Linked DNA regions of Coturnix japonica. The protein of the gene in region 7 purifies or fractionates together with the protein of the main gene of each other region. This does not show direct contact. Links are inferred from orthologs where the notes say so. Each region holds a gene or a part of one and is shown on either strand. Other genes may lie near its edges. The genes, in order: ENKUR, GSK3B, CTNNB1, ACTB, SPTAN1, UBE3A and MYH9.

The links.
Region 1: the proteins of MYH9 (region 7) and ENKUR purify together in Homo sapiens (affinity purification with western blotting; 4 studies listed by BioGRID, with this or other methods). This does not show direct contact. The link is inferred for Coturnix japonica from reciprocal best matches to the Homo sapiens genes MYH9 and ENKUR.
Region 2: the proteins of MYH9 (region 7) and GSK3B purify together in Homo sapiens (affinity purification with western blotting; 4 studies listed by BioGRID, with this or other methods). This does not show direct contact. The link is inferred for Coturnix japonica from reciprocal best matches to the Homo sapiens genes MYH9 and GSK3B.
Region 3: the proteins of MYH9 (region 7) and CTNNB1 purify together in Homo sapiens (affinity purification with mass spectrometry; 3 studies listed by BioGRID, with this or other methods). This does not show direct contact. The link is inferred for Coturnix japonica from reciprocal best matches to the Homo sapiens genes MYH9 and CTNNB1.
Region 4: the proteins of MYH9 (region 7) and ACTB purify together in Homo sapiens (affinity purification with western blotting; 4 studies listed by BioGRID and IntAct, with this or other methods). This does not show direct contact. The link is inferred for Coturnix japonica from reciprocal best matches to the Homo sapiens genes MYH9 and ACTB.
Region 5: the proteins of MYH9 (region 7) and SPTAN1 fractionate together in Homo sapiens (co-fractionation; 3 studies listed by BioGRID and IntAct, with this or other methods). This does not show direct contact. The link is inferred for Coturnix japonica from reciprocal best matches to the Homo sapiens genes MYH9 and SPTAN1.
Region 6: the proteins of MYH9 (region 7) and UBE3A purify together in Homo sapiens (affinity purification with western blotting; 3 studies listed by BioGRID, with this or other methods). This does not show direct contact. The link is inferred for Coturnix japonica from reciprocal best matches to the Homo sapiens genes MYH9 and UBE3A.

The regions. Positions count from the first base shown.
Region 1 is NC_029517.1:15,140,140-15,144,756, reverse strand, and holds the start of ENKUR (enkurin), read right to left. Parts: upstream 3,003-4,617; 5' UTR 2,914-3,002; coding exon 2,846-2,913; intron 2,630-2,845; coding exon 2,484-2,629; intron 1-2,483. UniProt on the Homo sapiens protein: Adapter that functions to localize a calcium-sensitive signal transduction machinery in sperm to a calcium-permeable ion channel.
Region 2 is NC_029516.1:71,650,625-71,655,347, forward strand, and holds the start of GSK3B (glycogen synthase kinase-3 beta), read left to right. Parts: upstream 1-1,496; 5' UTR 1,497-1,721; coding exon 1,722-1,809; intron 1,810-4,723. UniProt on the Homo sapiens protein: Constitutively active protein kinase that acts as a negative regulator in the hormonal control of glucose homeostasis, Wnt signaling and regulation of transcription factors and microtubules, by phosphorylating and inactivating glycogen synthase (GYS1 or GYS2), EIF2B, CTNNB1/beta-catenin, APC, AXIN1, DPYSL2/CRMP2, JUN, NFATC1/NFATC, MAPT/TAU and MACF1.
Region 3 is NC_029517.1:39,929,417-39,932,102, reverse strand, and holds the end of CTNNB1 (catenin beta-1), read right to left. Parts: intron 2,097-2,686; coding exon 1,888-2,096; 3' UTR 1,876-1,887; intron 1,565-1,875; coding exon of another isoform or gene 1,548-1,564; 3' UTR 777-1,547; downstream 1-776. UniProt on the Homo sapiens protein: Key downstream component of the canonical Wnt signaling pathway.
Region 4 is NC_029529.1:4,231,651-4,236,175, reverse strand, and holds the start of ACTB (actin, cytoplasmic 1), read left to right. Parts: upstream 1-1,347; 5' UTR 1,348-1,480; intron 1,481-2,236; 5' UTR 2,237-2,242; coding exon 2,243-2,365; intron 2,366-2,698; coding exon 2,699-2,938; intron 2,939-3,463; coding exon 3,464-3,902; intron 3,903-4,207; coding exon 4,208-4,389; intron 4,390-4,525. UniProt on the Homo sapiens protein: Actin is a highly conserved protein that polymerizes to produce filaments that form cross-linked networks in the cytoplasm of cells.
Region 5 is NC_029532.1:3,903,083-3,906,668, reverse strand, and holds part of SPTAN1 (spectrin alpha chain, non-erythrocytic 1), read right to left. Parts: intron 1,774-3,586; coding exon 1,711-1,773; intron 629-1,710; coding exon 574-628; intron 320-573; coding exon 123-319; intron 1-122. UniProt on the Homo sapiens protein: Fodrin, which seems to be involved in secretion, interacts with calmodulin in a calcium-dependent manner and is thus candidate for the calcium-dependent movement of the cytoskeleton at the membrane.
Region 6 is NC_029516.1:118,887,182-118,891,855, reverse strand, and holds the start of UBE3A (ubiquitin-protein ligase E3A), read right to left. Parts: upstream 3,263-4,674; 5' UTR 3,227-3,262; coding exon 3,057-3,226; intron 1-3,056. UniProt on the Homo sapiens protein: E3 ubiquitin-protein ligase which accepts ubiquitin from an E2 ubiquitin-conjugating enzyme in the form of a thioester and transfers it to its substrates.
Region 7 is NC_029516.1:47,319,804-47,323,838, reverse strand, and holds part of MYH9 (myosin-9), read right to left. Parts: intron 3,981-4,035; coding exon 3,774-3,980; intron 2,950-3,773; coding exon 2,845-2,949; intron 2,208-2,844; coding exon 2,055-2,207; intron 1,719-2,054; coding exon 1,470-1,718; intron 981-1,469; coding exon 768-980; intron 1-767. UniProt on the Homo sapiens protein: Cellular myosin that appears to play a role in cytokinesis, cell shape, and specialized functions such as secretion and capping. Required for cortical actin clearance prior to oocyte exocytosis. Promotes cell motility in conjunction with S100A4.

The DNA.
Region 1 (4,617 bases), on a different chromosome or scaffold from region 7:
TGTAGATAAGTTTTCCATATAATATGCCACTCAACAGGACTTACTTAAAATGTAATGGAAACCACTTTTACCAGAGGTGCTCACTGTCAGGTCTCTGAGCACACACAGTAGGCCCTGCTAGTCCTGACCAGCATCATTTAGTGCACCACACTTCAGCCCAGCCCTGGGCTGTCAGTCCCTGTCTCATCCAGCTCTCAGGTGTGCCTGCCCTCAGACTCCTCCAGAAGTGCTGTGTGGAATCAGTGGACAGACCTGGCCTGCTGCCCTGCCTTGCCTGATGATCACAAGGCTACTGGCAAGGCTCATTTTCATCACTGTCCTGCTCTGCTTTCAAGCTTCTGCTGAGCTGGGCCTGCTACCAACTTTCTGTTGGTGAGGTCATTTTTAGGTCACTCTTAATTTCTGGCCTTCCTTAAGGAGCTGCCTGGCTCCTGCTCTTCTGTAATATTGCTTCTTACCATCCTTTCTCCAGAGAATGCAGGAACGCTTCCTTTTTGGTGTAATCCTTCCAACACACCAACACAAAGTTGGTAGTCTCCGGAGTACTGTGAGTTCAGTTGAGTGATGAAAGACAGCTTATTCCCCACCATTTTTCCCAACAGACAGAACTCCAACTTAGAGTCATTAATATGTAAGAGTACATTCCTACAACAGCTGGCTTCCTGATGCTGACCCCATGAACCAGTGCTTTTCTGAGTTTGTTTTGAAAGCTTGCCATAATTTAGTACTGTAGAACACAGGCTTAAATCTGTTTCTCTAAGGACATCACTTTGGAAAAAGGACCTCTGAGGCTTCTCAGTGAGCACCTGCTCATCCTTACCTGCATAACACTGGTGCACACACAATGTTTTAGGAGCCTCCACTTCTTCTATGGCCAATAACATAGTTTGGTTAACATGAATGCCAGAAACCAGTAATACAAGATGCCAATTAGGAAACATACTGTTTTAAAGGAATTACTTACTGAGTAATCAAACTCTCTAAGAGTGACATTATCCTAGAGTTCAGGAGAAAAAATAATTCGATCTTTCTGCTTTTTGCAATCTGCATTTTAACTGGAGAGATCAAACCCAATTTTTGAGATGACATAGGAATCATTAAAAATAAAAGCCATGATGCCACACAGACAGATGATAAATGTTTAAGTTCCAGGTGATGAAAGTGCCATACATTAAAAAAAGGCCGTTAAGCAATGTAAGTTTTCTGAGGTAGGTATGAAACTCCAACAAAAGCATAAGAATTTTCTGAGTTGATGATGTAGTTTGTTCTCAAGACCTGTTAGCATCTAACAGCAATGAGATCACTGCTCTGAATGGTAGCTATGATGTGTCAGACTCATTCTAAGGCTACAGTATGTCAGCTCTAAATGCAAACACACCAGTAGGTGTTTTTAATGAAGTTCTGAATTAGCAATTTGAAATAAAAATATTCTAAGTTGCTCCTATGAGAAAAACAGAGCAGAGTGCTGAGTGCCCAAACAGAGCCAGTTTGTAGTAGTTAACAGAAATTTTGCAATACTTAAAAGTACTTTTAATAAAAAGTACTTAAAAGGAACATTACAGACTGTTCCAAGTTATTGGTGAACCAGCATTCTTTCTTATGTTCATCTAAAACATGAGTGCAGCAATTTAACAAGTTCTTGAGCTTGAAAGCACTAATGATCAAATGCCATGAAGCATTACATTCCAGCATACTGAATGTTGTTCAGCTTTCCTGAAAATGAGATGATCTTTTGTAAAACCCACCTGGGAAACCGACAGGACTTCAGAGACCAAAACCTACCTCAGTGTTCTGATAAGGAACTGAACCTCCAAAGGCTCCTGTCATAGCCTATATTTTCAAAGCTAAAGTCATTTGCATGTACCTTACATGTTTTGGTGCTGATCCACACATCCTCTTAGATGGCATTTTTTTTAGTATGGTACTTTAAGCTCTTCTGCTTTTTGTTTGTTTGCTTGTTTTTTGCTTTTTTTCTTCTTCTTTTCCAGGCTAAAAACCATTTCAAGCTAAAACTTTATAATTCAATTACAAATTCTGACAGCAACGTACTTACAATTCCAGCAGTACTGAAGTCACTGCAGCATTGCAGAATGGGCCATGAATCACAGAATCACAGAATTGTAGGGGTTGGAAGGGACTCTAGAGATCATCGAGTCCAACCCCCTGCCAAAGCAGGCTCCCTACACCACGTCACACAGGTCGGCGTCCAGGCGGGTCTTGAATATCTCCAGAGAAGGAGACTCCATCACCTCCCTGGGCAGCCTGTGAAGCTGAACATGTGTTCAGTTTCTTACACCCAGAACTTCTAACGCCCAGAATTATGACTTGTGCCTGAAGACAGGGTAGTTCTATTTCTAAATTATGGAACTGCAAATTGAGCTATCAGGAGGGCACATCACGCTGTCAACACATCTTCCATCCTTAAATGGCTGCAGCTGAGAATGAACGCCCTGCAGTTCATGTGACCAGTGACACACACTTACTTGCTGGTAACGTGGGTCCCTTGGAGTGTTTCTTCAGGAAATCCTTTGGAGATGGCACTGCAACTTTTGCTGGCCCCATAGTTTTCCATTGCGCTTTACTTTGCCCTATTTCGAGCTTCACGGACGGCCGAAACGTTGATATGTACCTTTGATGTTAAAAAAATAGGCGTGGTGAAGTTAAAGGTCAGAAAAAGGCACAACAAAAGACTGCACTATTTCATTTTATGTCTTCCCAAAGCCATCATCCCATCACCTCCCTGCTACACTTCAGCGCTGCCTCACGCTGACAGCCCACACCCTCAGGCTTTAGGGCCCTACCGGAACCACAGCACCAACAAGTGGTGCTTTACATCCCCACGTACCTCGGGGGTTTGACGGGCTTCTCCTCCAGCCGTGGCAAGAGGTTATACACGCTCTCCTGTGCCGCCATCCTCCTCCCGTTCCCGTCTCAAGCTGCCGCCCGCTGTTGTTGTGGCCGCCGTCACCATGAAAACGCGTTACTGGGCAACAGCGCCACGAGGGGCTGGGCCACGTCGCGTCTGTTCCGCCCCTACGTGGTACGCGGTGACGGCTGTGCTGAGATCCGAGCCGACGTTGGGTCGGGGTTTCCTTTGTTGTGTTTGTTCTGTTTTACAGATCTTACGGAAATGAGCTCGACCTCTTCCCTGCAGATGAGCGAGGCTCCTAAAGAGCTTTGAGTGCCCGCTGATGTTCTGGATTAGCACATGGGAGGTCCCGTGGCAGCTCAGATCTGTCCCCTGTACATCCCAGCTTCCTTCACTGTACGGTTCTGGCAGTGCTGCAGCTGCTCGTAGAGCTTGTAAGTGATCCGTTCCCCTGCACCAGTTGTGATTGCTGTGGTTGCTCATCTGCTGCTGTGACCGGGCTCTTTCACTTGGTGACTGGGAGGCTTCCTCACCTTCCTTTAATGCTTGTGTGGAAACGAGGTGCAGACAGATTTCACATGGGTGCCTGCTTTGTCAAGTACCATCTCACATTCTGGGCTGTGGGGTGATCATGGGAAGGTTGAAGTTGGCTTACTTTAAGATTTATTTTATTCCCTTCACAAAAGTTCTGAGGAAAGGCAAAGGGGAGGTTTTTCTTGTGTATTGGAAGCTCTGAAGTCTGATGATTATTTGTCTTGACTTACCTTGAGTTCTCCAACAGCTACAAACCACCGCTGGCTTGTTTGGTCTCTGGATTTTAACCACGCTTTGTGTCTACGCTGGTATCTGCAGCCAGTTTTCTCTATAACTCCCATCATCATTAATGGTTGCTAAGATTGTGTACATCTGCAAGTGATACATAGAGGCCTTTGGCCCTCCAAGTGGAGGGTTGACTTCTATTGTCAGAACTTGATTTCATTGGAGGTAAAGGCATAAGCTCTGCTTCAGTACAACACCCTCTCACCCCCAAAGCCTTTTGGCACAGGTAGCTGTAGCTAAAGGTGGTTGGTTTGGTGCTCTCACTAGACTGGTAAACTCTGCTAGACATGAAATCTAATTCACACTGTTTTCACAGTAAACTTTTGACACTGGAATAAAAATGATTTTAAAAGAGCAGTTCAGTAATTGCAAGCTTCTTTTTACCATATATACATCATATTGGTGCAAGGTTGGGTGAAGTTGCAACTGAGCAGCTGAATAAAATAACATGCGCATTCTTGCATCGGATTTACTGACTTGATTTCAAGCAATCTCACAGACTACTTGTAACGTTATGCAAATATGGCAAGTATGTAATCAGAGAAGTCTGTATCTAGTTCCTTCCTTGCCTACAGCACTAATTTTTGGGGCTTTTGTGTTCCCGTGTCCTAGATTCATAAAGCAGTCCAGATGTTCCATCCTGCAGCTGTATAGTGTACTAAGTGACTACGCCTTAAAACGCTTCTGTGGTACAACTAGAGGTGTAGACAGGACACTTTGCTTGGCATGATTTATATGCCCTTTGTTCCTAAACAAGGTTTGAAGTTATGCTCAATAAAATCACTAAAATATTGTCTCAATTACTTTAATTTTTACTTATTTTTTTAATATCTTGAACATACTCATGTTTGCTTAAGTATCACTTTCTGGCCCTGTTAGCTTTGCATGTGTATATTCACTTCAGTGCATTACCATTACAGAACAGCTTT
Region 2 (4,723 bases), about 24 Mb from region 7:
CTGAAGAGCCTGTAACCCCCACACAAGGGCGGCGGCGATAACGCCCCGCGCATGCGCACTCTGTCCGCATCCCCGCCCTGCGCAGCGGGTGAGGTCATGAAGGTGAAAGGGGCGGCGCCCGCCGCTGCCATGCTCCAATGGGAGCGGGCCGTGCTGCCGGCCCTGCATGGCGATTGGCCGAGAGCTCGCAGCTGGCTGCCGTCTTCGTGCCGCCTCATCGCCGTGAACCAATCGGCGGAGCGTAATCGAGACAGCGCGCCCTGCGATTGGCTGTCTGGCTTCGGCTCCCTTCGGGTTGGCTCGGTAATAGCCGGAAGAGAGGCTTTCTTCCTATTGGCCGCCCGACTGCGCTGCTAGGGCGGTGGCGGCGCCTTCCGATTGGGCCTCCGCCTGGCTTCGGGGGGATTCGGGTGCGTCCGTAAGGGCTTCGCGATTGGTTCCGATCCGTCACAGGCATTTCCGTAACCGCCTCGGGATTGGTCCCGACGACGCTCGGGTATTTCCGTCAGGGCCTCGGGCTGGGGGCTAACGAGTGCGTCGGGCGCTTCGGGTGGCTATTCACAGAAGGCGCCTAGGGCCGTTCCGCAGCGTAGGGCGGCGACGGGCATAGGCGGCTGCGCGGCTTTGGCGCACACACAGAGCGCAGCAGCGGGAGCCCGGCACGCAGCGGAGGCAGCAGCGGGGACAAAGGGAGCGACCAACAGAAACGGGGAGGGGGGCCCGGCGAGAGGCAGCCGGCGCCAGAAGGGAGCGGCGGGAAGCTTCAGCCGGGCGGACGGCTCCTCATGCGCCTCGGACGCCCGGGGAAGCAACAGCGAGAGCCGCCGGCGCTCTGAAGCCGGCTGAGGACGAGCTGGGAGCCAACGCCGCCGCCATGGCCCGCACCGCCGCCGCCGGCCACCGCCCGCACTGCAGCCTGCCCAGCGTGAGCCGCCGCCAGCTGCCCCTGCGGGAGCAATGAGGAGCCGCGCCGGAGCCGCCTCAGCGCCGCACTGAGAGCACACACACACACACACTGCGAGCCAGCCGGGCACACCGCGCCGCTTCACACCGCTCCGCCCGCCGCGGATCCCGCCGCCGCCGCCGGATCCCGTTGCGCGGGGCCGCATCGCCTCCCGTCGGCGGATCCAGCAGCTCCGAGATCCCTCCGCCGGGGGAAAAGTAGTCCCGCCGCCTCCCTCCCTCAGTGGCGAAGGGGGAAGGAGAGGAGAGGGCAGGAGGCAGAGAGAGGAAGGAGGCGAGGAGAAAAAGAAAAGAGAGAGAGAAAAAAAAAGAAAAAAGGCAAAAGACATAAAGGGGAAAAGGAGAAGAGAGAAGCCGAGCGGCAGGATCGGAGGAGCCGGGCCGCGAGCCTCCGCCCCATGTGACTGGGCTGAGGGTGGGGGCAGCGAGGCCTAGCACCGAGCACAGCCCCGCTGCTCGCGGCCGGCCCGGGGGGCTGCGGCTGGGAGGAGGCGGCTCTCGGACCCACCGGCACTGCGGGAGGATGGCGCTGTGAGCGCCGGGAGGAGCGAGGCCGGAGAAGAAAGGAGACGCGAGGAAAGGCCGGCGGGGAGAGCGAGAGGGGAGGGGGCTTCCCCGGGGGGGAAGGGGCCGGCGGTTCATGTGGCACAGCTCGCCCTTCGCCTCCCGCTGAGCCCGCAGCACACAGCCCCGCGAGCAGCCCCGAGGAGAGCGGAGGAGGCGGACAGCCCGACGGGACGCAGCCGGAGCCGGAGACCATGTCCGGGCGGCCCAGGACCACCTCCTTCGCGGAGAGCTGCAAGCCGGTGCAGCAGCCCTCGGCCTTCGGCAGCATGAAAGTCAGCCGTGAGTATCGGGCCGTTCCCTGCCGCCCTCCTGCCCTGCCTCGCGTTCGTCTCGGGTGGGCCGCGAGCTCGGCCGGGCCTGCGGGGGACACAAAAAGGCCGCTCCCGGCCCTGCCCTCGGCCCCTGCCGGCCGTGCCGTTTCGCCTCCGCGGGGGGCTCCTCGGGGTTACCAGCACCCCTGTTCTGCCTCCTGCCTCGGGGAGGAGGGGATGAATGACGGGCACGCGGGTACGGCCGTGACATTGGTCCCAATGAGGTGTTTTGTGCCCTCTGAAGGAGGGAGATGGAAGAGGTGGGGGGGGAGCTCTGTATCAGGTGTGGGAAGCCCACGGCCCGGCCTATTAAAGGCGGAAGAAAACGGGGGGCTATTACAAAGGCCGTCCGAGGGGGTTACAAAGGGTGTATCATACGCTGCTAATGATCCCCAACGGGAGGGAGGAAGAAAATCCTCATTGTGGCTTGCGAGTGGTTGTTTCGAGCTGCCTTGCCCAGGTTTTCTCAACGGGGATATTTTGAAGAACGAGGCCTGTGCTTTATTCCACACGGGCATGCTGGAAATGATCGGTGCTTGATGGGTGCCCACCCTTTGCATTGCAGCTGGTGGGCTCGGCCACACTATATGAATGGAGAATGGGCATTGCTTCTCGGTACGACCAGAGAAAGGCCCAGCTGCGGGTCACCTACAATGAACTATATCTCTTGAATGGCAAATAATTCCTGAAGGTTTCTTTGAATACGTGCCTATTAACAGTCAGATCATTGCCGATTCATGCTACGGGCTTTGTTTTCAGTAATATTCCCCCCTTTTTTTTTTCCCCTATGGAAATGGAGGGCTGGGTCTTTATGGGACCTGGAGCGCTTGATGGGCGTTAAGGTTTGATTGATCCGTTTGATATCCCGTGTGGTCACACCTGGCACTGCTGTGTGCGGGTTTGGTTCTTGGTGTTGGAGGCTTTTCAAGCCGGGGCTCTGCCCGGCTGGGGGTTTTTTGACAGATGAGAGAAATTCTGACGTTTTTCTGCATCAAAATGTACTTCCGCTGCGGTTGAAGCCTTGAGGAGAATATTGGGCTGAGGTTCTGGAGCTGCTGCTTTGTATCTGCATGATCAGGGTGCCTGCTGCACTCCGAGTGCCCTTTATACTCTTATATGCTGCTAAAACGGGTTGTGTTTGATCTGGTTCAAATGTATTAAAGATCTTAATTCACACGGGGGGGGAGGGGGGAAGGGGGAATATTTAAGACTCCATTTTAATGTATCGATTTATTTCACGTGAGCGTGGAATAGGAAGCAGGTTTTGTCGCTGGGTATTTCTGCAGGTGGCTGTTTAACGCTATAGCCACACTTAGCCCTGCCACGCTCCAAAGCTAAATTTGCCTTATTCGAGCTGTACGGCTCGATTCTTGAAAGGTCATTGATGCTCCTTTCCTGTTTGTTTGAGGTCAGAAACCAGACAGATGCTCGCCTTCGAAGCGGGTGCTAAGTGATGCAGACTAACAAGTTTGCAAATACGATTTGATCCCAAGTGTGGAACACGGAGGGAGAAACAAAGGCCGTAGCATAAAGCACACGCACTTGTGATAACCCCCCCCCCCAGCCCCTCCTCCCCAGTCGCTCTAGTCATGTGCTCCTGGTCCTTCTGCTGTCTGGAAAAAAATGTCAGAACAAAGCAAGAGAACCGCATGCAAGGACTGTGTGGGAAAGGCAGGCGTATTTTTCACTTAATCTATCCGTGTAAGACAGTGCAGGAAGTTTCGACTTCTTATTTTCCTTTGTAAGAGAGCAGCGCCACTGATTGCCAGAAAGGGTGATATTTTACTGGTTCTCTTGAGATTGTGAAGCAGATGGAAATGGATGGATTGCTGCTCTTTGAGTCCTGTAGGCAGCTGTTGTATCCCCATCTTGATTCAGACCTTCTCCAGGTCACCAGGAAGCAAAGCCTATCCTCTATGCCAGCCTTTTTGCTCGCCTTTGTAAGGCTGGGGTGGTGGTGAAATGAGGTGGTGAGGTCACGCTTGCTTTGGTGACCACCTTCTAGCTGATCCCGGCAGTAGTTCCATTCCTTTGAAAGGATTCAAAGGACGAGGTGGAAGCATTGAGGAAGGAATGGAGGAGGGTGTGTTGGACCTTGTGTTAGAGAGCTGGAGTGTGGTGATTGCTCTTCTGCTCAGGATATGGCAGGCTTAGGCCCTGGAACAGGCTGCCCAGTGAGGTTGTGGATGCCCCGTCCTTGGAGGTGTTCAAGGCCAGGTTGGACGGGGCCCTGGGCAACCTGATCTAGTAAAGGTGTATGTTTGGTGGCCCTGCCAGGCAGGGGGGTTGGAACTACATGATCCTTGAGGTCCCTTCCAACCCGGCTCATTCTGTGATTCTGTGAAAGGGGGGAGTGGCCATTGACTTTTCCATCTTTTTAGACTTTGTGCTCGGAAGTTGTTGAGAAGCTTGAGCCTTGAATGGAAGGGGATTCCCATCAGGGTCTTGTCCTCTGGCTTCGGAGGAAGGTGACTTCCCAGGCCTCTGTCATAGTTGTTAGTTATGAGAATTTTACAGTTGCTACAAGAGTAGGAACCCTGTGGCCTTCCTGTATCACTTCCATGATGTACCAACATCAAGAGTTCCTATGAGATCTGCCAATTTTTTTGTTATTTTGGTGTTTTTGAGATCATTTTGTGTTTCTTTCCACCGCACCATATGAATTTCTGTGCTGAAGTCATTCCCAGGTAGTTTATTCTCTGTTCAGGTCTTCGTTGCTGGCTTTGTAGGTTTTCTTCGCACAAAGAAACGTGTGTTCTTAGGTTGAGCCCGTAGGAAGTGCGTGGTATGGCAAAGATGGTGGTTGTGAGAGCTTAGCTGTTATCTTAACGTCTAATAGTGCAAGAAATCAGCTTCAAAATCAGGTGATGAATATGTAAATC
Region 3 (2,686 bases), on a different chromosome or scaffold from region 7:
TCTTACGCTTGGTGATGTGCATTAGACTATACCTCTTTACTAAAAATACTTTGCTGTGTGTGTGTGTGTACATGCCATGTCCATATGATAAAATCCAGCAGTAGTCCTCCAGAACTGGTAGATGCCATAGTGCATAAGAAATGAAATCCCCTTCATTGCCATATCCCTGGATGTTACTCAATGAGACATCAGCATAGCTGCAGTTTGTCTACTCCATAAGCAAAGGAGAGCACCCTTTTGTAGCTTGCTTCAGCTCTCATCTCCTTGGGATGCTACCAGGAGCTGTGATCCTTTATAGCTTTTTCCCCTTGTGATCTCATCTGCTCTGAGAGGCAGGATGAGCACTCTGGGCAGAGGCTGGTGACAGCTGCAGAGTGCAGATGTGCACAGTCTATAAATTATCCAGCAGTTGTTAACAGCATTACCTACTTCTATCTGCACAAGTGCTGTCTCTAGAGAAGGTGAGCTGCATGCAGGTCCTATCTCAGGCTGAGTTAAAGCTAGTGGAGCAGCTGAGCACTTATAAGTGAAGGACCTTCTCCTGCATGCTACACTAAGCATAGCTGCCTTGCTGAGGAACCTGAAAGGGGAAAAATACTGTGGGAGGAAGCCTCCATGATTCTAACCGTGATCTCCAAAGGACAGAGCAGCCGCCAGGTGGGATGGAGAAGGGGAGCAGTTCTTGGTTTCTGCCTTTGAAGTAGTGAAAGCATTGCACAATTTGAGAACAGGTTTTGGAGGACCTGTCAACACAGTCTGAAATAACTTGACACAGAGCGAATTAAAAGTTTACTTTAATCTTGAACCATTTTATAACTGCATTTTTTCTCATGAAGCATCTGTATCACAGCAGGCTACAATAACTTTGGGATAAAAGGCAACTGGTAAACTGTCCAATACAAGGTTCCAAATAAACAGTTCTTACTGGCCCCTACCCAGACATATCCCAGATAAAGTTTTTTGATCAAAAACATGAAATAGATCCACCTGCTTATTTTAAGCATATTAAAAAGGAAACTAATTGGACCATTTCTATTTGTCTAGTTTGTTTTTTTTATACAAAAAGGCTACACAATGTTACACTTTATTCAGAATACAGTTAGAGCGATTATGAATTAGTGTTCTACACCTTTACTCAATCCTTAAAAATTAGAAACTGCTGTAGCATATTCACTATAACTTAATACTACGAGAGACTTAAAAAAAAAAAACCTAACGACAATTACTGCGAAAAGAAAGGCTACTTTCAAAGCAAGCAAAGGTCAGTACCATTACAGAGATTTAAAAAAAATAATAAATTTTTAACAAGCAAGGCTAGGGTTTGATAAATTCCATCTTGCAATTCATTCTTGTGCATTCCTCGTTTCTTGAATCACTCCCAAAATCCATTTGTATTATTACTCCTCGACCAAAAAGGACCAGAACAAAAAGTTTACTTCAATTGTTCCCATAGGAAACTCAGCTTGGTTAGTGTGTCAGGCACTTTCTGAGATACTAGCCCACCCCTCGAGCCCTCTCAGCAACTCTACAGGCCAATCAATGCAAGTTCATTCAGATGATACAGCTGCAAAAAAGGAAAACAGAAAAATAATGTCAGTGTTCCTCAGTAAAAGTTACTTCAACATAAAGACTGCACAAAGCTGGTGATGCACAAGACGTTACAGTTAATTACTTCCATACCTCACGGCAGAAAATCATACACTCCTACAATCCAAACTGATGCGTGTCTCCAGAGCATTTTTTCCCCTCCCCCTCAGTATTCTGTCACACTGGGACCCATTTAAGCCATTCCCTCCCTGCCAACCAAGTCCTGAGTCCAGTAATTTGTTTCTCTCTTTTTGTTTTGTTTTTAAATTCACAATTGGAGCTTCTTACCTAAAGGATGATTTACAGGTCAGTATCGAACCAGGCCAACTGATTACTGTCACCTGGAGGCAGCCCATCCATAAGGTCCTGGGCATGGCCAAGATCTGGCAGACCATCAACTGGGTAGTCAGCACCAGGGTGGTGGCCACCCATTTCATGTTCCATCATAGGGTCCATACCCAAGGCATCCTGACCGTATCCGCCAGAGTGGAAAGAACGGTAGCTAGGATCTAAGAAAGTTAAAAGGTGGCAGAGGGAAAAAGAGCATAATGTTAACAGATGTTAGATGCATCAGAAGCTGCAAGTATCAGTGTGTGAGAAGATTGTTGTAGCCATCTAATTGTTTTTCTAGTTCAGCCAAGTTCCAAATGATCTGCTGCCTGCCCTTAATGGCTATTCCATCATTTGAAACAGCCTTCCAGTGTGATTCTGCAGACAAAGCAACTGCAGTCAGAAGCACGAGCAGATTCCAGCCAAGCCATTAGTCTGCACAATCAACAGTACTAAAATTCAACAATACTACAGCAAAACCAGGCTACAAGGCTGCAGACTCAGAACCCATAGCAATAGACTTAAGTCTACTGGCACTTAAAGACTAATATATATACCATACCAACATTTGTTTTAAAGAAAAACTGCACTTCTGGAATTGTCAAGTCCATCTGTAAAGGATTTAAAAGATTTCTGGAAACAGCAGCTCAGTGGGAGATTCTCTTGCAAGACTCAGACAAGCGACACCAATTTTGCACATTCATATGGCTCCCATTTCAGTGCAGCCAGAGGTGTTGCAGAAACTGCTTATTTGAACTGGCAGTTCCCC
Region 4 (4,525 bases), on a different chromosome or scaffold from region 7:
ACAAAGCCCTCACTGCAAGACCCCACACAGGGCTGGATCCCGCTCCCATAACACCCACAGTGCTTCTTGCACGGCGCCTTAATCAATGCAATTAATCAACAACGCTCTGGAGCTGCAAAGCTCCAGCTCCATGCAGCGCTGCTCACCAACACCACGCACCGCCCTGTCCAACCCCGCAGCACACGCTGCAAACAGGAAAGAAACAAAATATTGCCCAAATGTAGGCAAAGGCCCCTCGGCTGCCCTGACCTCCGCCGGGCCGGGCCCTGCCTGACTCAGCTCCTTACTCAGCTCTCGTTTCCTCCCTCCGGCTGCTGCTGCCGCTGCAGCTCACACCCTAACGAAGCACGGCCCTTGATGGGCTCTGCGATGCACCCAGCAGTCCAAGGGCTGGCCGGGAGGTTTGCACCGCTACTTGCTGACATGAGCGCTGAACTTGGCCCTGGGTAGCGCTGCAGGCCGGGAGGGGTGGGTGCAAACAATGCACCTGGTGCCCCATCCCCTCCCTTGCAGCACCAGGCCGATGGTGTGATTGCAGCTCGGTGCATGCACGCGCCGTGATACGTTCCTTGCTGCTGTAGCAGCCTAGTGCACGCACAGCCCTCGCTGTTATTGCAGCTCTGCGCACACACTCATTGTATCACTCCATCCCACAGCATGATGCACTCGCACTGGAGCTATCGCTGCTGGGTGCACACACTCATTGTATCGCTGCAGCTCAGTGCATGCACGCAGGCTGCTGTTATTGCTGCTGGGTGCACGCACATCAGTGTGGCTGCAGCTCAGTGCATGCACAGCCGGTGCGCATCGCTCCCACTGCTCCCATCGCTCCCATAGCTCCTATTGCTCCCATTGCTCCTACTGCTCCCATTGCTCCCATAGCACCCATAGATCCCATATAGCACCCATAGATCCCATACAGCTCCCATAGATCCCATATAGCACCCATAGATCCCATAGCTCCCATAGCTCCCGTAGCTCCCATCGCTATGGCCGCCTGTCCCCGGGAGGTGACTTCAAGGGGACCGCAGGACCACCGGGATGGGGGCAGGGCTGCATCCCCTCCCCAACAAAGCACTATGGAATCAAAGCATTATGGAATCAAAGCACTATGGAATCAAAAGGGGGTGGGGGTGGAAGGGAGCGTCACACCCCGCCGCTCAGCCTCACCTGGAGCTGAGCCCCACGCTCCCCTCTCCCCTTTCATCCCCCCAATTTCCTATTTATTTATTTCTTAATTATTTTGTGCAGCGATGGGGGCGGGCGGGGCGAGGCGGGAGAGGTGCGGCCACAGCCAATCAGAAGGGCGCGCTCCGAAAGTTTCCTTTTATGGCGAGGCGGCGGCGGCGGCGGCCCTATAAAAGGCGGAGCGGGCGGCGGGCGGGAGTCGCTTTGCGCTGCCTTCGCCCCGCGCCCCGCTCCGCATCCAGCCGCCTCGTGCCGCCCGACCCGGCTCCGACTGACCGCGGTACAAACACAGGTGAGCGGCCGGACCGCAACGCTGCGACAGCAGAGCTCCATTGTGCCATACGGGGGAGCACCGAGGGGCTGCGGGGGGGCGCTGTGTATTGGGGAGGGGGCGTGAGTCGGGGTGTGTGTGTGTGTTAACGGAGCCGGTGCTGCCCGGTGCCGCGGGGCGGTTCGGCGCTTTGTGCTGCGATGAGCGGGGCGGGGGGCGAGGGAACAAAGGCGGAGTGAGGGGTGGGGGGGGGTCGGGTTGTGACCCCCATGTGCAGCTTTAACCCCCCCCATGTGCAGCTGTACCCCCATGTGCAGCCCCCCCCCCCCAATCCTTGTTACAGATCGCGGGCTGTGCTGGCTGCGGGGCTGTGCTGGGTGCGGGGCCGTTGGGGGCTCGGGGCGGTGCCGGTGGTTGGGGGCGGCTGGTGGGCGGGGCTGGCTGCCCCTATAGCGCCGGCGGCTGTCGAGGCGCGGCTCGGAGCTGCCATTGCCTTTTATGGTCATGGTTGGAGGGCGCAGGGACTTCCTTTGTCCCAAATCTGTGCCGAGCCCAAATCCGGGAGGTGCCGCCTGACCCCCTCTAGCGGGCGAGGGGCGAAGCGGAGCCGGCAGGAAGGAAATGGGTGGGAGGAGGAGGGCCGTGCTGCCGCGCTGCCGCCCCGCGATCCATCCCCAGCGTTGGGGGGATCTATAGGGGGCGAGGCGGGGCGGGGTCCGGCTTCTAGTGCGTGACCGGCAGCGCTTCTATCTCACTGCCTCCTCTCTTCCTTCGCAGCCAGCCATGGATGATGATATTGCTGCGCTCGTTGTTGACAATGGCTCCGGTATGTGCAAGGCCGGTTTTGCCGGGGACGATGCCCCCCGTGCCGTGTTCCCATCCATCGTGGGTCGCCCCAGACATCAGGTACGGCAATGGCTGGAGTGATGCATCCAGACAATGGAGAGGAGTGTTCGGTGGGAGTGGTTGTGCTGAGGGCGTGGAGCCTCCAGAAGCCCTTTTACTTTCATGTGTGACATAAGAGGTTTCTACTCTGCAACAGTAACTGGTTGAATACACAGCATCCTGCCGAGCAACCCGTGTTGAGCCAATGGCTCCAGTCCTTAACCTGGCAGAGTAGGGGCAGTAGGGGGTTAGTGATTAAAGGTGTGGCTTCTGCGGGGGGGGGAAATAAAACCTTTATTCATCCATTGGATTTTGTCCTAGAGTTAAACTTAAAGCTTTTTCTTTGTTGTGCAGGGTGTGATGGTTGGTATGGGTCAGAAAGACAGCTATGTAGGTGATGAAGCGCAGAGCAAGAGAGGTATCCTGACCTTGAAATACCCCATTGAACATGGCATAATTACCAACTGGGATGATATGGAGAAGATCTGGCACCACACTTTCTACAATGAGCTCCGTGTTGCCCCTGAGGAGCACCCTGTGCTGCTCACAGAGGCTCCCCTGAACCCCAAAGCCAACAGAGAGAAGATGACACAGGTGTGTAAAACCCTTTGAGCCTGGAGCTACAGCAGGCGCTGCTGCAGGCCAGCTCTCCTCTTCCATGTTGTCCTCTATCCGCCTTCACCACTTCTCCCTTTTTGCCATCTTTACAGGGTTTTCCTTTCCTGACCTGAGTCTCCTCTTTGCTGGACCTTGACAGGTTTTGTTTGCTCTAAGCTGGCTTTCTCTGAGACTGAACTAGCAACTTGTCTAACTGCTGTTTCTGACTAGACACTAATCCATTTACCAGCCTTGAATGACTATACTGTAGTTCCTTGGCCTTTGTTTCGTTCCTTGCTGTGTCATGTGGATGGGCCTGTGGTAGCAGTGTCCTTGCTCAGGCTCTAACCTGGCAGGTGTGGGTGGAGACCAAGCGAGATAAGCACTGATATCTCCTTCTAGAGGAGCAAAGAAGCCTCTTTATCTAGGGACAAATGTAAAACCACATGCATGGACTGATGTAGGCATGCAGTGAGAACCTTGGTTTATTCTGCTTGACTCAGTGCTTTCTTATCTCTCTAGATTATGTTTGAGACCTTCAATGTCCCAGCCATGTATGTAGCAATTCAGGCTGTGCTGTCCCTGTATGCCTCTGGTCGCACCACTGGTATTGTGATGGACTCTGGTGATGGTGTTACCCACACTGTGCCCATCTATGAAGGCTATGCCCTCCCCCATGCCATCCTGCGTCTGGATCTGGCTGGCCGTGACCTGACGGACTACCTCATGAAGATCCTGACAGAGAGAGGCTACAGCTTCACCACCACAGCCGAGAGAGAAATTGTGCGTGACATCAAGGAGAAGCTGTGCTACGTCGCACTGGATTTCGAGCAGGAGATGGCCACAGCTGCCTCTAGCTCTTCCCTGGAGAAGAGCTATGAACTCCCTGATGGTCAACTCATCACCATTGGCAATGAGAGGTTCAGGTGCCCTGAGGCCCTCTTCCAGCCATCTTTCTTGGGTAAGTCTGACTCCTTTTAGGAGATTCCGTGCCCCTTCTGCCTAGAGTGACTTAGAGACTAGTCAGCTGCCATTGTACTGCTGGCCCTTAGCAGGTCTGTCCCATTCCACTTCAGTCTTTGTCTTCCTCAGCCTGAGGATGATAGAGGTACCTAGGTCAGAACCAGGAGGCTGAGCCTGTAAGCCATGGCTTTGCTTGTGTTGCTTCCCACTATGGGGTCTTTGTTTCTCTTCCCATAGCAGTAGGTCCTTTGGCTTCCTTGACCCTGAACTGCTGACTGACCTGACACTGCTTTTTGCTTGCAGGTATGGAGTCCTGTGGTATCCATGAAACTACCTACAACAGAATCATGAAGTGTGATATTGATATCCGTAAGGACCTGTATGCCAACACAGTGCTGTCTGGTGGTACCACAATGTACCCTGGCATTGCTGACAGGATGCAGAAGGAGATCACAGCCCTGGCACCTAGCACAATGAAAATCAAGGTAGGCTGCAGCTCTGGGCTGTTCCTAGCATACCTCTTAATGCGGAGTGGGTGGAGGCTGAACTAAACTACAGAAGATGGAAACTGCTTTGTCTTCATGGTGGAGCCTTACAGCCTTGCTCTGGGCAGGGTGGCAG
Region 5 (3,586 bases), on a different chromosome or scaffold from region 7:
ACTTCATCCCCATGAAGAGAGCTGGGAAACGTTCAGGTTTGCTTTCAGGCAGCCAGCAGGTGCTGCCATTCACCTCCCCCCAGGCCGGGCACAGCACACACTACATGCAGGGCAGCCAGTACCGAGCTTGGATCTGCTGCTCCAGATTGTGCTGCATCCTCATTCCCAGCTGGTCCAGCTGGTCCCACTGCTGCGCCAGCCCCACGGTGCTGTGCTCCGTGTATTTGTTGTCCAGGATAAGTGCCTCTTCCATGGCTGCTCCAAGGTCCTCGATCTTCTTCAGCTGGCTCCTCATAGCCCGGATCTCCTGGTGTTTGCGCTGGGAGGAGCGAGAGAGGAGGAGAAAATCAAGGAGTGCAAAAAGCCAAAACAACCACAACCAGCCTTTAGGTGAACACCCATTAGGAGGGAAAAGAGGAAAACTATGTTGGAGTGTTGTTTGATGTCCTGTTTATAAGAGGACATCAGACCAAGGTTCCTTCAGCGTTCAAAATGTATAAAAATCAATTCAGATTTTACCGTATAATTGCATGGGGGAGGTGGTTTACAGACAGGGGATCAATCATTACTTACTTTAGTAGCTTCCAGCTGGGATTCCAGTGTCCCCGACTCCTCCACCATACAGGACCTACGTACAGAATCACAGTGAGGCACAGGACTCCTCCCATAACCAATGGCAGGTGGGGCTTGAAATTAACAGTCCTTCCTTCCAAATGCTCACAGCAGCATTGATCTGCAGGTATTTCAATGCTGGCTTCGTGTTTCATTTATTCCAACTCGCTATTTCAGGCGGACACGTCACATCATGTTTAATTCTCGTTTCTGTACAGTTAATTTCTAGCCCCATTTGAAAGGCAACACGCCCAGCAGTCACACTTCATGCCAGATCCACAGCACCCGCTTTGCTGGGCCTCATGAGATCAGATTGGTGCAGTCCCACCCCAGCACACACACACACCAACCATGGGGGATTCACTGATGGGCTGCACTGGGACTCTATAGAGGTGTGTTACCGGGGATAGAACAGGGGGAAGAGAACTGAGAACTGCTGGTTTGCTTGGGAAGTAATCACAGAACAGTCAGAAAACCCCGGAGCTCCCCTGTGTAGGATGATGGAGAGGTGCCTTCCTGCCCCATCCCAACCAGGGGGAACTGAGGCAGCTCTGCTCCATTCAGCCCCATCCTCACACAGCAGGGTCGCACTGCAGGGATGGCAGCAGCATCTCTCTGTAGGGACCAGATAAGGGATGTCTCTGGTCGCTGCCCCCCCAGGAACCTCAGCAGCCCTAAAGCTGCAGCACTCAGGTACCTCCATCCTCCCAGTGATGGCGAGAGCCCACACTGACCAACCTGTGTGTGGACACAGCAGTGTGTGCCATACTGACTGCTAGGGAGGGTCCTGCCAGGAACCGCAGCTTTGCAGCCCCTCTAAAGCCCATCCTACACACTTTAGAGGAGGGGACTGTGGGCGCTGGATCGCTCTGCAGCCACACAAACACCCTGATCCCCAGCACAGGGTTAAGGCCACACTCAGTGCACACCCAGAGCCCTGGGCAGGGAGATGGGAGCCAACCATGGGGGGAACCGGGCAGGGAACACACCTCCAAGCATCTCTAAGCCGTGAGTTAGTCGGAAGGAAAGCGAGCCTTGGAATTAACGAGTGCATTTAAAAACCAAAAGTGAGGTAAGAAAATAAAGAGGAAAAAAAACCTTCCAGATAGATCATCCCCAACTTCATACTGATAGACACGAATGACACGACGGTAGGCTATGCTAATCAAAGGAAAGAAACCAGGTAAATTCCAAAGGAGAAGAAGAAAGAACAGCGGACAGCACACAGCCAGCCACGGCCACTGCAGCACCAGCAGCTTGCAGCAAACAGCAGCCTTCACTTATGGAATCAATCCAGATGCTGGTTGCACACACAGGAAACTAACGGGTTATTTTTGTGTAAAGCTGGGATAAAACAATGCATTTTGTTGTTAGCTCATCTACAGCTTCTACAAAGGCGTTCTTTCCAACCCCACGCTCTCCTTTGCTCCCCTCTCCCACACAGCCAGCACCACACCAACACTCTGCTGCCCTGGAGCCTCCTTGGAGCTCTGCTTTCCCCATTGGCAGGGCAGCGCAGGGCTCCCTGAGCTCAGTCTGTGTCCGTCACCCATTCACAACAGCATTAACACACAGCATTAAGGACACAGCATTAGGGACACAGCATTAAGGACCGGCTGCCCCGCAGACCAGCGGCCTTGTGGCAATTTGTTGAACAAAAGCTCTTGGCTGCTGGTCTCCAGCTCTGCCCCCGTGGCTTTCAGTAAATGGCCCCTTTCTGTCAGCTCCTTCTTGGATACAAGAACTCTCTACTACACCAGTTTACAAAGGAGCACAGAATTCAGCAGCTGTTCCAGGAAAATCTGCTCGGTTCCATTAAACTGTTCAGCAAAAAAAATGGGGCAAACTATTTTTTATCTGGCAGAAACAGCAGAAGGGGACACTGTGGTCATTACAGAGCACACAAGCAGCAGTTATCTGCACAGAATTCCACCCTTTTATTATGAAAAGCCATCTATCTTTGTAAGAAAGGCCCCTGGCTCCCCCCAGCCCTTTGCACAGGGCCCACAGCCTCAGCGCCAGGCCCATGCAGTGTTTGTTAACCTTTTACACCATGCCTCGTTACAAAGCTTCTATTGTGTTGCAGTTGTTCCAATAGTGAAGGGATGTAAATGGGCAGACACACTCTGGGAGGTTTTGGCAGCCTGGAGGCATTTAAAGACCGTGTTGTTTCCTTTCCTCTTCCTGTCAAATCCCCGACCTGCATCATCATGGGGGGCTGCAGGAGCTCAGGCTGCAGGCAGCACCCAGCTGCCAAACCTGGGCAGCGCTCTGTGCTCCTCCTGGGATGCTTTCTACCATCAAGAATAACATCACAGCAGGGTAAGCTCCTCTCCTGCAGCACGGCCAATCAGCAGGTCAATAAGTTCATACTGTGTATGATGAAGTCTTAAAGATACCTAATTTCAGCCAAGGCTCTTCCTAGGAACACCTCTTCCTCCTCCCAGAACACAGAATGGTTGATACTCTGGGGATTTAATCATTCAGAGAACAGTTACAACAGAAAATCCATTCTGCTGAACTGAAACCTCTGACTACTGGAGAACTGTTTAAACACCAGGTGAAGATGGACGTTCTGTTCTCTCCCACATCTCAGAGCAAGAGCTGTTCCTTGTGTGAGCAACCTGCCCCAGGAGCTGACCCAGCAGCTGGCAGCCCAGCTAATGGGGGGGGAAGCTGATGGTTCTTCAGGTCCCCTCCAACCTGAGCTGTTCTATGGTTCTGTGAGCAGAACTCAGCACTGCCATGGGATGCCAGTGGTTCCCCATTCATAACTTCCTCTGCTTTTGACTAGGAAACAGTTATAGTTCTCATTGGTTTCTTTGTAATCCACCCCAAACTCGTTTCATGTGCACCTCAGCTAGATTGCTCTTTTCAAATAAAAGGGGTTCTGCTGTGGCTTTCACAAGCAACGCAATGACAGAAGAAATCACACAGAGAGCAGAGCACATCACCGCATTGTGAACAATATAAA
Region 6 (4,674 bases), about 72 Mb from region 7:
GAAACACAAGATTTCTGAATCAGAGGGAACATTACTTTCTTTAAATGAAGTACTCTCATCTTGACAAATGAAAATATATTTAACACAATTCGATTTATGGGTCCTCTAAAAAGAAAAAGTAAATCTTGTTTACACACAGTTATCAGCTTCACATTCTAGTGTTATTGTGGACACAATTTCAACTGGTAATAAGAAAAAGTTTAGATGCAAAGCAAGGCTGAAAGTAGAACAGAACTGGATTTACAGGTAATCAACTCTCTGATGCACAGTACTGATGTACAGTTACCATTGAGAGGGAAGCTACGTGACAAATGATCCAGGCATTTATTTAGTAATATTATCAGTAAATACTATATCAATAGGATATCAATCCTCTAAAACATGTTTTCTCTTTTAATACACAAGATTCCACGTGATCACAACTATCTGATATTAGTTTGTTATTTCAAAGAGTAGGAAGAGCATTACTTGGTTAATTGAACTGCTGACAAAACCATGATTAAAGATGAGCTCAATGCTGAATAACCTCAGCTTAGTGAAGTATGTCTCTCCAACAGTTATTTGCCAATTTCTCCTCTTTCTCCCACAGTAACACGTGGCAAGAACGTATTTTGAAGAATTACAACTGTAACTCTATATTACTTGATGTGCCTAGTACTATACATACAAAAAAACATCCTAAATGGTCAGTTACTAAAGCTACATGTTTAGAGAAACATGCAATTGGTAAATAAAACACCTGAAAGCTACTGCTGATTAGGACAGTAAGAGCTACATGCAGCACCAAGAACACCATATTTCACTGTATTTTCAAAACAAACAAACAAAAAATCCTGTTCTTTTAAGAAAGTTAGATATGAAGGCAAGGTATCAAATAGAAACAAAATCTTTAACATTTTGGAGGTGTCTAATATATAGGTCTTGAATTCAAATTTAATGATACACTACATGTCTAAAGGTTAGAACATAAGAAGCAAGACATCAACCAGAAACTGTCACAATGAAAGTTGCTTTTTCCAGAAATTGATGTATGCAGATTCTCCATAGAACAAGTACATTAGAACTGAAGCCTCAGACCTGCTTGTACTACTCAGCACTTGCTGTGCCTAGCCATTAATATGGGCTGATCAAGTACTAGTTTCAATGCAGTGGCTTCGGAAGGGGAAGTGTCCTCAAGTTCTTAAAGTAACTACTGAGGTAGGTGTATGTTATTTAAAAGTAACACCTCTATTCCTTCCTTATAATCATGAGATCTCTAAGAGCAAAAGGGAAGAAAATCATTACTTCAAATGCCTACCTGACCAAGTACAGAATAAAATGTCTCCCTGGCGCCCAATGGCAGAGTTGGAAGATGATAAAAAAGCAGAGCAGCACCATCAACACCATCAATTCCATTACTGTACAAGGGAACAGAATAGCTATATACTGATCTGAAGATAAGAGTTACAGCCTTTCCAGTTTCTACATCACATTTTTCTTTCATTTTATTTCTCCACTGCAGTCGACACATAGGTCACAAGCTCTTTGCAGCAATGTTTTTTCTGACCTGAGTAAAAACGTATGAACGTTATAAGGATTATTTCTCATTAGGCTTCTCTAAATGTGGGCATACGTTTTCACCCAGAGCAGCCAGAATTGTTACTCATGCTAAATACACTGTCAAAAGATGACCAATTCCCAGCAAGATAAGTCTTACATTTTCAAGCTGGGTAAGCTGCTAAAGAAGCATGCACACCTTTATAGCTCATGTAACACTTTAACTATTTCAGTATATAAACGCTGATTATATTAACAGTATTTTATTACATCAAACACTATGTTTTAATCAGGTAATATCTGAAATACTAAGGCACAGCACTAAGATTAGAGTTGTCTCTAACAGCTGACGTAGAAGAAACTCTATATCCATCATGATGGAGGATAAAAAGCACAGAAATGGCATTAATGAAAACTAAAAAAAAGCTACTGCAGAACCACTACATATTTTCTCATATCAATTATTGTTTTTTATGTAAGCAGTTCAGTTACACGCATGTTTGTAAAGACTCATACCGTTGTTGCCTATCTGATTTCAAAACTCACTTGCACATGCACAGTTGTACACATTTTACAGGCTGCTTTGAGGATAGCTTCCCACACAGTAGGCCTTGTACAACCTTCTTAAGCAAGACACTATACTTTGGTGAGGGCAAGAGCCTACTGTAATATACATAACTTCCACTTCCCCAAAGCCCAATAATTCCACAAGCACATTTTCCATTTTAAAAATTAATATTCACTGACTTACTTATGCCGTACTTAAAAAAAATAAAAGAATCTCTATAGGCTTTTCTAACTGTTTTTTATCTAATAAAAAGCCAGATAAGTACTTATCATTTGTAATTGAAACACTGCCAAATCTGCAGGGTAGCACAAGAAACTCGTACTGCTGAACCTCTACCTCCCTGGAGATGTCGGTAAAATAACATTTTGAAGCACAGGATAATTTAGACCGGGAAAGGCCTTCAATATAAGTCCATAAGCCACATCAACAGGTCTCATGAATACCTCTAAGGAAGGAGGCCTCCACCATCTCTCTGGGCAGCCTGTTCCAATGTTTGACCAAGTATTTCTTCCCAATATCCAGTATAAACTGGATACAACCCAAATAAGTTTCCTTGCATCCTAGCACTTGTCCCTGCAAAAAGAGATTGACACCCTCCTCCTTGCTGCAGCCTGCTCAGGCAGCTGTAAAGAGTCTCCCCTCAGCCTCTTCTTCAAGCTAAACAGCCACAGTTCCCTCAGAGACTCCTTATAAAGGTCACTTTCTAGTTCCTTCTGCTGGATATCTAAATACATATAAAACAAGGAACTGAATGTGCTGCTTCAAAAGTTTCAACACAACACATCTACTTTGCATTTCTCAGATATCTTAAGCTAAATACAGAGAAATGCTAAATAAAGCAAACAGTTTTCAACAGAGGAAAATTGAGACTTAATAGGCCAAGTAATTATACTACGCTTTTGAAATATAAGATCACCTTCAGATCCAAAGCAGTCAAAAACATCTCACATACCGAAGTGTAGTTATGGACAGCCATCTTTGTGAATCTGAATGCTGGTTTCTGAAAGTATCTTTTAAATTTCGCCTGTTGTTTTCCTTCTTTTGGATAATTAGGTGTAATAATGGCAATGCTTGAAGAGAGGTTTCCAGTGAAAGCACTGCCCACAGGGCATGTCTGTACATCAAAATGCCCAAAGTTCCACCCGGAGCCAGAACTGAGCACCACCCCTTGGTTCTAGTGATGTTATAATACCTTCTGTCCACTCCAGCCAAAGCCATCACAGCTAACGTGTGCCTGCAAACACACACGGAGCTCATGTTTCCAACCCTGATCCTTTCAGCATGATGTGCCTCTCAGGCAGTGAACCCCAATAGCTGGGTGCCTGTGACCTTAGTGTGGGGCACCCACTTCACTACACATACTGAATCTGATGCGTCTTCAGGAATTGTGTGCTGAAAGAGCCACAGCACTTCCTCAAGATAGATGAACCTGAGAACATAAGGGTCTCCTAGATATATTGAACAGTAGCTCTCCAGACTTTAAGTTATTAAGTAAGGAGACCTAAATACTAATAATACTCTGTACTGGCTGCGAGGCCAAGAAAAGATCAATTCAGTCTTTAATGGAAAGAAGTGAAACAATAAACATACTCACAGGAACCCTTCAGTCTGTCTTATATTCAGAAGAAAACAAAACTGTATCAAACATTAAGCAAAATGCATTATTTAGTGTATTTTGTGTTGTTTTCCCTCTGTCAAAAACCTCCTGACATTCCAAGCAAATGTAGTTAACCAGATTAAACTCCATGTTGTACTTTAAAAGCCTAAATGTGTAAAGTGTGACATTTAAACAGTATTTCACATCCCTACCAACTGCAACTCACTAGAAGAGTATTTTCTGAGACGCTGATTCTAATCACCTCCTTCTGAGCCACTGCTTGCATTCTAGTAGCAAATTTGATCAACAAGGAACTACTTCACACACAAAAATATAGATATTAGAAGACTGACCATTGAGACATTTATCTAACCTACAGAGAAGGGACTCAACTGCTTATCATCACATACTCTCCTTGTACAACTCCAAAGAAAGAGGCCAAGTACAGTAAAGGGAACATCACACAATCCTGTTTTCAACTGGAAAGGTTTCTGGAGTTTTGGTAAGTTTGGTTTCCATGGCAGAATGAACTCAGTGAAAGAATTCTATTTGACACTGCCCTAAAACAGTGACCATGGTCACGCACATAGTGACTGCGGATAACATGGGACTTTAGCTCTCATTTTAAGAACAGTCTAGCATCTATGGATTAGAAAGATTCAGCTTATGCAAATCCAGCTCTGCACTCAGCTATGAGGAAAATAATTTAAAGCATTCCATGTCTAAAAGGCTCTAGGGTAGCACTGGTATGATGAAACACTAATACAGTCACAGTTCATATTTGCAATGGCTATTAATCATTTTTCTGGCTCATTTTGGGAGGCTGCAGCAGAATTTTCCTTCTGCCATTCTTTCAGGAAAATGAACCAGCTACAAAACCTAACTCCAGTGCGAGGTGACTATGTACCACATCTAACCGACAACACTTTAAGGGGGGCAGTGATATTTGATGGCTTCAAAACCAAACAGACAT
Region 7 (4,035 bases):
GTGTGGTGATCAGGAGGAGAAGTATTTGTAAGTGCAGTCCCAAATGACTTACCAGAGGTATACAGACACCCCTGATTCTGACAGAGTTCAATAAAGTAATTTTAACTTCTAATGATGATTTTTTTTAATCTTTTCCTTCCTGCTTTCACAATCTTTTCCTTATTATGAAATATTTGGGTTACCGTGTTCCACTGTCAACTATTCCCTGCATTTTCCACACAGAAGCACTAAGGTTGGAAAAGACTTCCAAGGCCATCAAGTCCAACCATCCACCTACCACCAATATCTCCCCACTAACCCAGGTCCCTCAGTATCACATCTAAACGTTTCTTGAACTCCTCCAGGGCCAGTGACTCCACCACCTCCCTGGGCAATCCATTCCAGTCCCTGGCCAATCTTTCTGAGAATAAATTTTTCCTCATAACCAAGCTGACCCCACCCCCTGGTGCAATTTGAATCCATTCCCTCTAGTCCCATCACCAGCTATGCAAGAGAAAAGGCTGACTTTCACTGTGCCACAGCCTCTAATTCATCTCACACAATACAAGTCTCTAACACTATGTCATCTGGGTAATTTCCAAGCTCTTTCTACTCAACTTTCCTGCTCACTAATGTAATACAAATGTAATATTCACAAATCCTCAAAGCATTCAGTGCTCTCTACTACAATTGACCATGTTCACACCAGCATAAGTATTCTGCAGCATCAAACTAACAGTAATGTCTTTGTGACATGTCCTGCACAGACTCCTTAGCTCCATACTTACGCTTTTCCCAACATCATCCTTTGAACTCATCAGGTCTTCCATCTCAGTGCGGAACTGCTTATTGACTCGTTCCAGTTCAGCTTTCTGTTCTATGGCTTCTTCAAGGGCTCTGGCCAGGGAGAGGGCCTTTGTCTCCTTCTCACGGGCTTCAGCTTCAGCACGGTCTCTCTCTTCTGCATATTTGGCTGAGATGTTCTTCTCCTCCGCCAAGAGCTACAAGAACACAGCATTAGTATTTTGAGAAATCACTAAGCCATTCTGAACAAGGCAAACATGCACCTTTTCTGTTTTTTGCCTTCTAAGTAGCATTCTGCCTCAGACAGAAAGAATCAAGAAAACCTGTCTTCAGAGAATGCATACCATCCCATCTCCAATAATGTGCTGACCCCATGTGAATAAACCTCTGATTCCCTAAGCATCCAACATATCAGTTCCAAACAGCCCCTCAAAAACTGCAGCCAGCATTTACAACTGGATATTGTTATCAGTATAACTGTTAGCCCTTTGGGAAAAGGCGCATCACTAAACTTCTTGTGCAAGAAACAAGTTTCCCTCTATGACAGCTTCTCTCCACTTTATGTGCTGTACCTGAGTTTAGAAATAAATGTGTATTCTCCAAACAGCACTGTTTAGATATTCTTAAGAGGCAAACCTGCCTAGTCAGATGTACCTACACTGAACAGATTGACACTGAAGTCATACCTGATCAAACTTCTTCTGCTTCTTCTCTAGGTTGGAAACTGTCTGGCGCTGATGATCCAGGTCCACAGCAATGTCATCCAGCTCTTGCTGCAGGCGGGTCTTTGTTTTTTCCAGCTTGTCATATGCAGCTATCTTCTCCTCATAACGCTGGGTTAAGCTCTCCAAGTCCTTTTGCAGCTTCTTCTTGGCTTCTTCTGCTATTTCAAGGCAGCCCAGACCATCATCCATCTTCTTCCTGGCATCTACTGCCTGAAGAACAGAAAAGACTGCATGTGAATCTCACCACATGTAGCACAACACTGTATGTGGTTTACTGGCACTAGATGAGCTGAGGAAATAGGTCTGTTGAGTTCTGAAGGAATCACCTACAATCATCAACACTGTATCAATGACTCCAAAGGAATTCCTGGGTAGAAATCTACAGTAAGATCATTATCTGAGACTCAATCAAGTAAGCAGGATCACCCTTGTCCATCAAAGGTTCTCTCATTAGATGCCCATTCCTCATTTACATTTTACTTCCTTCAAGTTAGAATTGCACTTCCTCTCCTCCCAAGTGTTTGATTTATGGAAGGTAGACTGTACCTGTTGCTGAAGAACAGAGATCTGCTTCTCTAGGTTTCTCTTCGCCTCCTCTTCTTCTTCCAGTTGCTCTTTCAAAGCATTTTTTTCATCCTCTGTTTGCTTCAGTTTAGTGCTGAAGCTCAGCTTTAGGCGAGTCTCCTCCTGCAGCAGCTCCTACAACACAAGCACCCCAGAGGAACTCAGTACATCTCCTTGGTTTACAAGGCTCACCATCCTCAGTCATTCTCTCCAGCAGGAATATTTTTGAAGTTTATTACCACAGAAATGGACAATAGGCTAAAGTGATTTTGCATGGTTAAGAACAACTTTACTCATAGCAGAATTCTAAGACAGTGATCATTTACCAACTTGGGGCACCAACAATATTTACTAGCTTCTAACTTACTAACTTATCCAATGGGATAACTTTATGGATCTATTGGAAATCATGAACAGAGAAATAAAAAAAGCCCATCAAACACAAGAATCTAGCATTGCAGCTCAGTACTAGCAACAAAGAACTCCCAAGCAGAAGAGTGATAGAGGAAGACTTCTAAGACATGGAAAGTTACGTGTGTTCCATATACTGAAGAAGCAGAAGGAAGAGAAAGAGCTCGTTTCATCAGTAATGCTCTCAACACCATGCAGCACAGCCCCTTAGCAAAACAGCCAGATTCAATCCTTTGAAGTGTTGTATAGTCAGTTAACAGCAGTCCAGATTGCTTTCTCACTTTAGTTGAGACCATTTGTAACAGACAGTGGATGTAAGTTATACAGATAATATGGATATCTTGGCTTCCAGAGCTCTCACCTGAGTATCCTGAAGCTGTGACTCCAGAGCAGAGAAGTCCTTTGCTAATTTGATTGATTTGCTGTCAGACTGGTTCAAAAGGCCTGTGACATTGTCCAGCTCAACCTGCAGGAGAGATGAGAGTATCACTTATTAAATGCATCAGCAAGATGAAGAAAGCCAGGAACAGCTGCAAGACCTGAATGTGAAAAACAAGGCACTTCTCAAAAGTAAGGCATGCGTATCATCTCCTGGGAGAAGACATGTGTCATTTCTAGGTACCTAGGGATGAAATACAAAGAATCCAAAAGAGACTCAACTGCAACAACCTTTTGTCTTTAAATCTCTTTATCACATGTGATTTGCTTCAGGACTGCATGTAGATACTCCAAATTACATTTTCAGACTCCAGAAGAGTATGCATACACCAGCAATGCTAAACACCTAACGACAGCCCTAATGATAGGCAATGCTTGGTGTGAACCAAAGGTATTGTTTATCTTGAAGAGAGCTGGAAAAAATCCTGAATTTCAGCATCTCCCTTTAGCCACCCCTCTTCACCATCAACCACATTACAAACTATCAAGATACATTCTTCCAAATCACCAGACTGTGCCACTCTAGGCTCACAAGTAGCTGAAAGGTTATGGAACTGTACAGTACAAACTGCTGCACGCTGAAGGGAAGCACCTTTTGGTGGCTGCTCATTAATGACACCAGTCCTAATGGCCTGAGCTGATAATGAGTTAAGGAGTTTGCTGAGTCCTTGGGAAGCAAACTATGTCTGTGCTTTTTTGTAGGAAAAAGTTCCTACAAAAAAGCAGAGGATAAAGATCCTCTGGAGGAACAAGAGATTTTCAAATTAACCACAGGAAGGTACCACCCTATAACCTTCTTTCCTCTCTATTCTCTGGCTACAACAGAAGCTAAGGAAAACCCATGCCACTCACCTGCAACTTGTTCACTCTCTCAGCCAATTCTGTCTTTACTCTTTCACCTTCTGTAAATTTCACCTGCAGTTCTTGGAGCTGAGCATCTACTTTTTTCCTCTTGTGCTCTGCATCCCCTTTGCCTTGCAGAAGTACCTTCACTTCATTGGACAGTTCAGCCTTTTCACTTTCCAGGGCTTGTTTTGCTTTTTCAAGATTTGCTCTCACCTGGAGGGGGAGGGAAATAACAACAAAATACCTCAGACTGAAGATACAGCAGAAT